Linked DNA regions of Schizosaccharomyces pombe. The gene in region 2 interacts genetically with the main gene of each other region. Each region holds a gene or a part of one and is shown on either strand. Other genes may lie near its edges.

The links.
Region 1: mutations in bye1 (region 2) and pef1 together harm fitness more than expected from each alone (negative genetic interaction), as found in Schizosaccharomyces pombe (2 studies listed by BioGRID).
Region 3: mutations in bye1 (region 2) and rhn1 together harm fitness more than expected from each alone (negative genetic interaction), as found in Schizosaccharomyces pombe (2 studies listed by BioGRID).

The regions. Positions count from the first base shown.
Region 1 is NC_003421.2:685,866-689,258, forward strand, and holds pef1 (cyclin-dependent protein kinase Pho85/PhoA-like Pef1), read left to right. Parts: upstream 1-1,869; 5' UTR 1,870-1,888; coding exon 1,889-1,916; exon of another isoform or gene 1,917-1,967; coding exon 1,968-2,806; downstream 2,807-3,393. Other genes in the region: pgl1 (6-phosphogluconolactonase), read left to right, coding at 36-220, 339-927.
Region 2 is NC_003421.2:1,256,621-1,261,923, forward strand, and holds bye1 (transcription elongation regulator), read left to right. Parts: upstream 1-1,787; 5' UTR 1,788-1,916; intron 1,917-1,970; 5' UTR 1,971-2,013; coding exon 2,014-4,179; 3' UTR 4,180-4,660; downstream 4,661-5,303. Other genes in the region: cca2 (ATP/CTP tRNA nucleotidyltransferase), read left to right, coding at 30-173; protein mug117, read right to left, coding at 313-873; SPOM_SPCC645.12C (uncharacterized protein), read right to left, coding at 1,056-1,652; chaperone activator Sti1, read right to left, coding at 4,986-5,303.
Region 3 is NC_003423.3:1,033,495-1,037,420, forward strand, and holds rhn1 (RNA polymerase II transcription termination factor), read left to right. Parts: upstream 1-2,027; 5' UTR 2,028-2,043; coding exon 2,044-2,191; exon of another isoform or gene 2,192-2,239; coding exon 2,240-2,340; exon of another isoform or gene 2,341-2,408; coding exon 2,409-2,603; intron 2,604-2,650; coding exon 2,651-3,370; downstream 3,371-3,926. Other genes in the region: serine/threonine protein kinase Ppk27, read left to right, coding at 3,583-3,926.

The DNA.
Region 1 (3,393 bases), 570 kb from region 2:
AAATACTGAAAGCAAACCAGAACCAAGTAGAAAAAATGTCGGTTTACTCATTTTCAGACGTTAGTTTAGTTGCAAAGGCACTTGGTGCATTCGTTAAAGAGAAAAGTGAAGCTTCTATTAAAAGGCATGGCGTGTTCACTTTAGCTCTTAGTGGAGGAAGTTTACCAAAGGTTTTGGCTGAAGGATTGGCTCAACAGAGAGGTATCGAGTTTTCCAAATGGTAAGTTAACAGATATTATATACTTTTGAGTTGTATGGATTCACTGTGGTTTTGTTTAGCTTTGGTTGACGTGAAACACTCTGTCTTAAGGCAATTTATGATTAACAGCTCTATTTAGGGAAGTTTTCTTTGCTGATGAAAGAATTGTTCCTTTAGATGATGAAAACTCAAATTATGCGCTCTGTAAAAAGTTGATTTTTGACAAGTTTGAAGGATTTGACCCTAAAAAAATTCATACCATCAATCCTGAGCTTTTGAAAGAAAATCCTATTGACCCTCAGAATGTTGCTGATGAATATGAAAAACAATTAGTGCATGTGTTTGCAAATAGCTCCACTGTTAAGGTCCCTGTGTTTGATTTACTGCTGTTAGGATGCGGTCCTGATGGCCATACATGTTCTCTATTCCCCGATCACGAGGTACTCCAGGAAGACGTTGCTTGGGTGGCCCCAGTCACTGATTCGCCCAAACCCCCTAAAGACCGCATCACTTTGACTTTACCGGTTGTCACACATGCTCAAGCCATTGCCTTTGTTACCACAGGTGCTGGTAAGAAGGATATTTTGCCTATTGTCATTGAGGATTTTACATCTAAACTTCCAAGTGCGCTGATCACTCGAAACAATTTGACTCGTACAAGCTGGTTTGTGGATGATGAAGCATCAGCCAATCTTGAGAGATCCTCTTTGAAGGTTTTCCCTCAATAGGCAGTTCAATTTAAGCAGGTGGCCTTTAGAATGCTTAATTGCTACATGCTTCGGATTCATTACTTGTTTCTTTAAGGTCTTTCAAGGGAAAGGTTGCAGTTCTCTTTTGTTGTTCGTGAGATTCTTTGCATAAACGCTTTAGATAATGACTTTCAAAATGCTTTCAGTCACTTCCGTGGAATGCTTGATGACCAGTTTTAACACATGTTAGTAGATTAGGAGAGAACTTGTTCCTCAAATCCTCTTTGCATTTGTTGTCTGTTTTTTATTTTAGACTAGCGTATAAAGGTTAGTCTTGTAAACAATGTGTAAGAAGCTAATGCTTTATTAAATTGTTTTATTGCTTCGTTTAGAATCATGTTTAGTTGATTGATATCACTGGCCAAACCCACACTGCAGAAATATGATGTTTTAATGAAGAAATGAATCATTGAAATATATAAACTTAAGCTATCTTGTATCATTTTTTGTTGGTGATAATGTTCTAAAATGTGTTTCATCAACAAGATAAAGTAAACCAATTGTTTTTGAATTGCAGTGATATAGTTTAGCTTCAATTCTTTTATTAAATCATTAATTCATTTTTAAAATTATGCAAAATTACGGCATTTTCTCATACTGCTTATGATAGATTTTAAGCAAAGATGGAAATTTATATCCAAAAACATGCAATTGCTTAAACTCTCCTTTATGTAAGGGTTTATTAATACTTATGTGTTTTCTACAGATGGCAACCTTCTGATTAATTATCATTAGGTTAATTTGTGATAGAAGCTGTAGTGATCTTAATTACAATAGTTTACATTATAGCAAGATGTTCGACATGACTCAATAGACTAAAAATTTTTTTTCTTAGCATATTCTTCAAAACTGTAGGTCTTAAAAACAGTTTTGTTAGCTTAACATCACCTTAAGTCGTTAGTCATCGTAGAGGAGGCACTTGATATTTCCATCGCACAACATGAACTACCAAAGGCTTGAAAAGTTAGGTAAGTATGAGTTTGAGGTCCCAAAATTTGCAATTTCATTAACTTAAGTAGGAGAGGGAACATATGCGCATGTTTATAAGGGGCAAAATCGAGTGACTGGTGAAATTGTCGCTCTCAAAGTTATTCGTATTGATGCAGATGAAGGAACACCTAGTACTGCTATCCGTGAGATTAGTCTTATGAAGGAGCTTAGGCATCCCAATATTATGTCTCTCTCAGACGTTTTGCAAACCGAAAATAAGCTTATGCTCGTTTTTGAATATATGGAAAAAGATTTGAAAAAGTACATGGACACTTATGGGAACCAAGGAGCTCTTCCACCTTCTCAAGTAAAAAATTTTACTCAACAATTACTCAAAGGGATATCTTTTTGTCACGAAAACCGAGTTCTACATCGTGATCTGAAACCTCAAAATTTGCTTATCAACAGTCGTGGTGAATTGAAATTGGCGGATTTTGGGTTAGCCCGTTCAATTGGAATTCCAGTGAATACTTTTTCAAACGAAGTGGTCACCTTATGGTATCGTGCTCCTGACGTTCTTTTGGGTTCTCGAGTATATTCAACTTCCATTGATATTTGGTCAGTTGGTTGTATCATGGCAGAAATGGCTACAGGACGTCCTCTATTTGCTGGGTCAAATAATGAGGATCAGCTACTAAAAATCTTCCGATTATTGGGAACTCCTACTGAACAATCATGGCCCGGAATTTCTTTACTTCCTGAATATAAGCCTACTTTCCCTATTTATAAAGCACAAGATCTCGCCTACCTATTTCCAACATTTGATCCTCTTGGTTTGGATTTGTTACGACGGATGCTTCGTCTACAACCTGAATTAAGGACGACCGGCCAGGATGCGCTTCAACATGCTTGGTTTTTAACCGCATAGGCTGTAAATTAACATCAAAAAGTTTAACCAAATTACGATTTTATTTATTCATTTCAGTTTCCTATTGAAATCATTAATTTTTTTTTTGGAAAGAATGCATTTCACCTAGGGAAAGAGCACAATATTTTTGGACGTTCAAATTTCTTCGCAACTGTTTTAGCCCAAGTAGCTATCCCTATTGATCTTTTTTAAACGAGGTTTAGAGGTAAATATTTGGTTATTATTTTGAGAGGATTTGAAGCTGTCGAATATATTTTTAGCCAAGAATTAAACGGCGTTTTATTTTCTACGATTAAAATATCGTCGCTGATGACATTCAAGTCGTAAATGAAATACTTAAAGAATTGAATGATCCGCATTGCGTCTGACATTTTTATGAAGGAGCAAAAGGATAATATTCAAAAAGCAATGCGGGTTTTTAGTATACTGATAATAATTTGCGGATTTCAAGCAATTATCCGCAATGCACATGAAAAACAATCTTTTTTCACTTATTTTTATTAGTGGATTAATGGCTTCCTTCCCTATTATTTAACTGCATGAAGGGATTCTCTATTAATGTTCTCTTTAACCATTCGACATTTTAT
Region 2 (5,303 bases):
ATTGAGCGAATAAGCTAACAATTTTTTAGGGAAAACAGATCATGAAAAATGTGGGAGTTAAGCCTGGCCCGCAGCTGAAAGAGACTATGGATAACATGATTTCCTGGCAATTTAAACACCCTGAAGGAAGTGTCGAAGATTGTGTTGCATACCTTCAATCCCTAAAAATATAAGAAAAGACAATCACTGTTTAGATAACTTAATCGCACAAAAGATTAAAAGAATAAAAGTCACCAGTAATCGTCGTCCTTTTTGGAAATTCGTATTTATGATATTTATGCTTAATTCAGAATGGATCCTTTCCTCTTATTATTACCAATCTCTAACCGGCTCTCGATAATCGTATTCGCTGGTGCTTGGTGTAATTTCGGTACAGTCTGGATAACAGTAGTTCAATTTGACATAGCATCTTGTGTTTTCATTATCATTATTAAAAAAACGAGTTCCACAAGCGGAACATTGCAAATTTAATTGATCAAATTCATCAATGATTTCGTTGCCTGTGCGTGCTGGATAATCACCTTCGCACTCATAAATGGCAGTGCAAGAACTAGCTGTATAAGAAGAATATCCATGGTAGATCAAGGATCTATTATACTTCATGTACGCGTTCGGACACGCACGATTTTCTCCTCGAAGCATAGGGCAAAGAAATGAGCCCTTACAGTTATTAGGATGAACCGAATTATCATATCCAAGCATGTTAAATAAACTTCTTCGATAGTTTGAAGTAATTCGAGAGCCTTTTGCTTCTGGCTCAAAGACAGTACTAAGATCACTTCTAATTGGGACTGCAATGCATATGTAAATGCAGATTCCGTATATGAATAGGAACAAAGTTAATTTCTCTGTTACACAACAAAATTTCCACATTCCTTCCGAAATATTAATATATATTAAATATGCAAAAGTGTTTAAAGCAATGCTTCTTATTTGCAATTATTCTTAATTAATTAATATTTTTCTTTTGGTTAAGGAAAGAATATGTAATATAAACAGTATTCTTTTAGTTGGTGTCAATATTTTTGTTTGTTTTTAAGATCGTAAACAGAGCTTTACAAACCCCAAAGCAAGGTGTCTTCATCTAGTGAAGCATCCGAGTCATTATTAGATAAATTGCTAGATTCTTTAACAGAAAAGTTATTTTTTTTAGTTTCAAACCTTTTTTGTTTCAAACGACGGATAAGATCCCTCGACTCACCCAATTTGCTTTCTTCTTCATAAAGAATATCATAAACTTCTGGTTCTAAATCATTATCTGCAATTTCATTTTCTTCATCCTTTTCGGCCAATAACTGTTGCTGTTGGAGTGTTATTTCTTGTTCAACAGCATTTTCCTCAATAATGCCAATCTCATTTTGAAAATCGTTCCACTCTTCTTCAATTAGTTCTTTATTTTTAGCAATAGATTCATCAAAAAAGTTTTCTGGAAGTGCGGACACCGCTCGTGTATCCTTAGGAGGTTCTGTAGATTGCTTTTCATTAAAATCACTTACTGCCAGCTCACGAGATTGATCACGACCTAAATTTTCAAATGATTTATGATCTCTCGTCTTCTGACGCTTCAGTTCTTGACTAGAGGCTTTCAGACCTCGCTTTTGCCCTAATCGCTCTTGTTTTACTTTCCTCAGTAACTCTCGTGCACTACTCATATTTTTGAAGCTCCTTTTCTAACAATATTCACATTTAATCGTAAAATATTGCATTCGAACTATAAAATAGCATGTATCCTTAGTTTTCGCAGATTTTGCACCTTTGCTATAACAAACTACAACACTGCTGCCACTTGCCAATAACCCATACCTGCCAACACCTTGTTTTTTAGAACTCTTGACGAGCTTTTGTGAGGATATTAAACACTTCAGGAACGACTTTTGTTTAGTTATGCATATATTTTAATCTCCTCAGTTTATTTAGTACGCATTCAATCACTTGTTATTCGAATTGCATGTATTAACCTTGAAGTACAGATGTCATTGATCAAAATACTTTTTATTCCCATAATAACGAAGCATGGTAAGAAAAAGCACTAGAAGGACGGCAAAAGCCTCAGAAAAACCTCCTGAAACTGTTGTTCGGTGTGTTTGTAAATCGCAAGAAGACATTGGCGATACGTGGGTTCAATGTGATGGGTGTGATTGCTGGCAACATGCCAGTTGCGTTGGATTAGCGGATAAGGATATACCTGAAAGCTACTATTGTGAAGTTTGTCATTCGCGAAGCGACGTTTCATCACAAGTACAAAATTCTCCCAATAAGGATGAAGAGCATCAGACAGCTGATTTACTTGCCTCTAATGAAGGGAACGAGAAAAACAATGAAGAAAATAATGTTGTATCTTCTGATTCAAAAGAGGCGATTACTAAAGAGTCAGGCGCTGAACTAGAATCATCCGAGCCTGCTTCGACAAATTCTAATGTTGGAATGACTACTAGGTCTGGTCGACAATCTCCTAGGACTCCTATTGGCTCCACGACACCAAAAAGTTCTCATTCTCCACCTTCAACTCGAAAACGAAGAGGCAGTGTTGGTACGACGGCTACTCATACCAAACGTAGCAAGAATGCACCAAAAACATCTCCTAAGGATGCTTCCAATGAAACTGCAGATCAGGAAAAGGAGCTTAGTTTACACACTTCTATCGATGAAATTCAAAACCCTGTTAGAAAAAGTGTTGCCAAAGCCTGGGTTTCCGTTTTTGAAAAAATCATTGAGAAAGCAAAACTTGAAGGTGTGCAAGGATTAGAAGACCTTAATTCTACATCCTTAGCGCTTCAGCTTGAGCATATTATGTTTATGGTGCTTTCGTATACAACTGATCATTCGTTAACTCCGAACAACAAATATCGAGAGAAGTTTCGTGCTTTACGATTCAACTTGGTTGATGACAAAAACCCGGCATTTCGAGCGCGCGTGTTAAAAAATGAAATTAGTTTTAACGATCTGGTCAACTTATCCAGTGAAGAAATGGCTAATCCTGACTTGAAGAACCTAGCTGAGGAAATTCGTCAACAAAGTACTGAAAACACAGTCATAAAGCAACATTTGATTGCTCCACGAGATCGTTTACTTGATGAAGATAAACTTACACAACAAGATGAACTTGGTATTGCGGAAAACGATGATGCGATGTTTCCCAAACCTCCTGGAGAGCTTGTAGCTCCAATTTCAATTGCAGAAGAAGAGCCCACAATTGATTCCAAAAGTCCTACTTTACCGGAACATAATCCTCTTTCTGAAGACGATACATCTAATGGTGATAAAGCTGCAAAAAGAAAAGGGAGTTTTAACGACACAAAACCGATAGTCAATGTCCCTTCCATCGTGGAAATAGATGATCCTACTATACTTGACATTGTAGAAGAGGAGCCTCTTGCGAGGAACGATTCATTTTCTTCTCCGTATTCGCCTGCTGAAGATATGGCTGAGGAGTCTGAGTTTTTTGGCATGAAAGAGAAAATATGGACTGGAAAAGTAAAAATGGCTACTGTTTCAGAGTTTCACGCAAATGCCTTAAATTTATTTGGTGATGTTAGTGCTAGTCATTTATTTGAAATTTTATCTGCGACAGCTTTAATTGAGGGTCGTATAAGTGTATCATCAGTTTTGCAGTATTTTCATGCTCTAAGAAAAACTCCTTCTAAAGAAATAATTGCGGTGCTATTCGTACCCACTGAGCAAAACTCACAAGGATTTGATATTTTGTACGATTATTTTGTGAAAAGAAATCGCTATGGAGTGTTACATTCGAAGTCTAATTCTGTGAAAGATGCATACATTATTCCTATGCCATCAGGAAACAGCGTGCCTGAATTACTTGACCTTCTTCCCAAGGTTGATTTACCTAAAGATCGAAATTTTCAGTATTTCATGGGCTTATTTGTTCTTAATAAAAGCTCCTCTCGTCATGAATCAGTAGAAAGAGCCACTCCTATCACTACTTCCACAAATGGTATTCCATCTACATATCAGTCTGCTTCTGGTACACCTACTAATCCAGTTCATTCCTACCCGTCTCTCGAAAGTATTATTAATGCTTTAACTCCTTCTGATATGCTCTTAATTAAAGATGTTGTTGAGAACAATCCACAAATAAGGGCAAATCCGTCGCTAGCAATTAACCCTCAATTTATGCAGAATGCCATTTCGGCGGCTCAGAAAAAGGCGTCCAAACAATAATTTTTGTAAATTTCTTTTTTAATGGAGGTTATTAACAAGCACCGTTCTTGCATAACTCCTCCTTTTTGGATCATCAAAAATGGCATATATGTCTCTTTTTGGTATATATTAAAATAGGAAAACTGTAGTTTAAAGAATCAATTAACCCGGTCCTTAAAAGTTTTCATTATAATATCATTTTTGGGAGATGGTCCTAGTTAACCTTATCCTAGAATCTTTGAGACACATTGACGAGTTTTTTATTAACGGTATATTTTGTGAAGCATGGCTTCTTTGACTTACATATCTATCTAATATTACTGCTTGATATGCATAATCTATTTTCATAACATTTTAGTTATGGATAATTAAGGTCAACCTAATGATATTTATTTATTTTTTTTTTACACTCTTAATTGAGTTTGTTAGTTAGCACAATGTAAAGCGATTCACATCTGGACTTAAAATTTTGATTTGATATTATAATACTTTTCATATCCACCCTAAAATTTGGAGAATAAAAGGTTAAAGCATTTAGTAACTACCTATCGTGATATGATTATAATTTTAAATTCAACATGAATTAGTGCTTATGTTTATTAAATGATCAAACTATTAATCGACTAACTCATCAATACCCTAAAAATTTGGAGGATAAATAACACCCAACTTCTTCGTTTAGTGAAATATTTAACAAAAAAGCAGTTATCCAATTCATCCGGTTGTATTAAAGTAAGGGATTACTCTTTAACAAACAACATTCATAAACTAAGTAAACGTTAAAACCTTTCTTTTTTTTAAATCTCACTTCTCACAAAAGCGCAAATTTAGCCCAGGCGAATAACACCGCTGGCAATCAGCTTCTCAATTTTGCTTTTAACGGTTGGGTTCTTCATGTGTTCCATCAAAGCAGCAGGATTCTCACGAGCTTGTCCAAGGATAGCTTGCATAGCAGGGTCTTGTAAGATTCCTAGAACTTCAGGATCTTTTTGAATTCGAGCCATCGTCTCCTCCTCAGTTTCATTTTGTCTCTGACTAGCCATTGCGCTCATACACTTGGACAATTGAGACTCGATTTCACGAAGGTTCTTACCGGTATTGGGCTCACGACGGTCAACTTCAGAAGCTTCATTGCATGCATCAAT
Region 3 (3,926 bases), on a different chromosome or scaffold from region 2:
GTGGAAATTGTACTTCTCCCGATTGTTCTTCAGAAATTTCCCTTTCAATCGCTAACTTTTTCCATCCTTGTAGCCTTTCATTGCATTCAATTTCATATTTCATTTTACGATCTCATTCCTCAATATATTTTTTTCAAGTGCTTCTCTTTTGTTTTCGTCAATTTCTAACAATGTAGAATCTACAGATCTCTCGTATCTTTCAATGAAAATTTTTAAATCTTCCGCAGAATCATTTGGTGGTGGCAGATTGTAGTCATTATCAAAATTCTCGTTCGACATCATCCTTATTATTTATACAAAACCAGTTGCAATAAACCGCAGTATTCTTTTTAACGATAAAATTTCAATTCACTATAACTATACAAATGATATCTTTTGTAGCCTGCCTTATATGTTTACTAATTGACAAATATTTCTCAGAAAGGGAAATCTTGGAAAATAAAAGTACAAACGTGTGTTGAAAGCAATATTTAATATATGTGTTGTAAGTAAATTCAAATCTCTCAAGTTCCCCTTATATACAACTTTAAACAAAGAATGCTAAGGACAAAGAAAAGAGTTTTTGATGGATTAAGAAACAAGGTAACCTAAGTAACTTCACACTGGGAGTACGTGATACAGATAATGAAAATGGGCTTTATCTGTAAAATAAAAGAAAAATGGCTTATTTGCAGGTAACTTATTACAAAGTTAGATTTATTGAATAGAGGAGTATTTGTTTAAAAACAAACTTCGATTGCAAACATGCATAACAAAGTTAATAGAAAAACATTTCTTTATCCTGCTTTATTGTATTCCTCTTAAGGGATTCTCAACAGCTCTAAATAATCACGAAATATTTAAAGAAAAGGTATATTACTCATTCAAGCTATTAATTGTAAATAATATAACCCATAGCTACAACAAATGCGTTAAGAGGATATAATGTTAGCTACGCAAGTATTTAATTTAACGATACGTAGAACTACGGTGTTTTCCTAGTGATCTATTATATTGTAATTCGCAAGTAATATATAAGTAGCAATTGAGATTGGTATTCTAATATATGGGTTATATTGTTGAATAGATGAATGAGCAAATACAAGACTTGAAAAGTCCTTCAATGATATATTTCTGGTATAGAGTGTTGGCGAAACGACATGAATTCTGAGTTTGACGCTACGCAGAATGAGATTGCATCCATTAAGTTGAAATAACTACTATGAAAGGTGAAATGACTATCATTGGCAGAAAATGAACATTAGTTTTATACGTTGACATTCTTACGGCACTTTTTATTTACAATTTTGCTTACTACTAGTCATCCCGTTTTAACTTTGTTCTTAGGAGTTAATTTATTTTACTTTATTCATTTATTTTTTTATTTTTTTTGAAACTCGTATTATCGTTCAATTTCAGAACATCTTTACTGCTTTGCCTGCCCGGTTGACAAATAAATACGATTTCAAACGAACAATTAGTTTATTATATAATTTTTTACGTAAGTATATGCCATAGTTTATAGTAATACAAGGGAAGCAAAAACAAAGTCTCAATGCGGTGAGTAGTATATAGTAATTCCTGCTTCAGACAAGTCATTAAAACACACATTTGCACTCCGTACACATTTCTCAACACGCCGAATAGTTTCTTTTCATAATCCCCAACATATAACATCACAAGATTTCGTCTAGCATTCTTACCAAAACTCGTACTGTAAATGTTACAGTGAGTGATAGCCGTTAGCTAAGATGACCTGCTGAGACTAAACAAAATCATGAGAAAACGAATAATGTATTTTATATACCTAATATTTAAGAGGGAATCTTGGAGAAAACTGGGTAGTTTGAGAATAATAAATGTTCTTTTCCATCTTTACAAATGAGACGAAGATTTTTGCTCTACCCAAACTAATTAATCTGTTGTTTCAAAATCATTTTAAGTATAGGCTATAATGTAAAACATTGATATTATACAAGAAGTATTTATTACTTATGCTTATGATTTCGTTTGCGATGCTAACAGCAGTGTGTCGTAAGAAACTCACCATCAGCATAAAACAAGATGGCTTTGACTCCAGACACTGTTTCTTCAAAGTTGGCTACTCTAAATGAAACACAAGAAAGTATAACGGGAATAGCGCATTGGGTTATGTTTCACAAGCGTTATGCTGATGAAATTGTCCAAATATGGCTGGAAGCTTTGTATGAATGTATGACTCCTTTAGGAATTTGTTCGATTGTCTAACTAATTTAACCAGCTTCTTCCAACAAAAAGCTTTTATTGCTTTACCTGCTCAACGAAGTCGTTCAACAATCCCGGGTCAAAAAAATATCTGAATATATTGATGCCGTTTCTCCAGTAAGTTACTATCATTATGAGCTTGGAACATCTCCTATATGGTTTAGATTCTAATAATATTTGCATAGTATGTCGTAAACTCTGTAGCTGACGCGTACGCGTCAGTTCCTGCTTCCATTAAAACAAAAATCAAATACGTTTTTGACGTTTGGTGTCAACGCGGCATATTTTCTAAGGAGATACTTTTATCCTTGCAGGAAAGGTTTAATAATGCCGAGAACAGTGGCCATTCTAACTATTACCCCGTTGGCCCTCCGGAATGGGTATGCCGCAATTCAAATAAAATATCAGAACTTTACTAATTGCATAGGCACCTTACACTCGTTTAATGACACAAACTAGTTTATACGCAAAATCTGCTCACTCTACCAAAACTGTGGTAGATGCATTGTATAAATCATACTTGGAGAAACAATCAGATTATTCTGAACTACTCGATAATTATAAAAAGCAACTAAATAAAGCCTCTGAATCATGTAAAGGTAATTATCAGGCTTGCATCGAATCCCGATCCACACTCATTACTTCCTTGGAATCGCTTATAGAAGAACAAAAAAAGCTACTTTCAGAGGAAGAAGAGAGCCTAAAATCTGTTGAATCCATAATTTCTAATTTAGAGAATAAGGAAAGTACAACAGCTACCTCTACCTTGACCGATGCAGGTTTTGGAGATAAAAGTTCTACTGCTGGCAAACATAATGTAGAAACAACATCACCTCCGTCTAGTTCTCCAAACAGTGATGATGCTTATTCTCCTCAAGTAGATTCTTACTCTCCAAGCATTAACAGCGTACCATATACTTCCAATATTGTCGAAAATCCATCTGAAGACAATCTCTCTCCTCTTCCTCCTCCTGCCAGTGGACCCTATTCCCAAGAAGAAGAAGAAACATCATTATTTAAAAGCCAGAGAAAAGAAGAAAATGAAGAGGAATCTAAAGAATTACCAGAAGACTCAGATATCTATGGAAAAGATAGTTCTCCCTCTTCGGACGACTCTAGTGCAGCTGGTCTATATGGTGATAGCTGAAATCCATGAAATGTAATGCTTAGTTTTCATTATTTTTCTTTTTTTTTTTAAACTGTCAATCAATGTGGCAGTCTTAGTCAATAAGCATTTTTAGAATACCTATCCTAACCTTTTATATGCGTCAGTACCTGACTTCATCCTATCGAAGCCGTTTTTGGAATTTTGTATATTTCGAAGAAAGTTGAGCCCTATCTAGGAAGAATGGGCTTTTAATGTCTGAAAAAAAACATTCTTGCGAAGAAAAATCGCTGCAACTATATCCTCTTTCAAATAAAATTCGTCATGTAAATCCGAATATTTCAGCTCTTCCGTCTGAGACTGATATATCTGAATCATTGACGAACGATTTAACTAAACTAGAAATTTCTAACTATGCTCCATTTAATAGAGATTTAGAGACTTTTTCCGATTTAATTTTTGGCTTAACTAATATACAAAAAAAATCATTGTATTCTCTTCAATTAGGCAGAAGTAGAGGATATGCTTTATATTCAGACGAGAATGAGAAATATTTGTGGTCTATAAATACTAAAATCACCTCTACGGAACAAAGGGA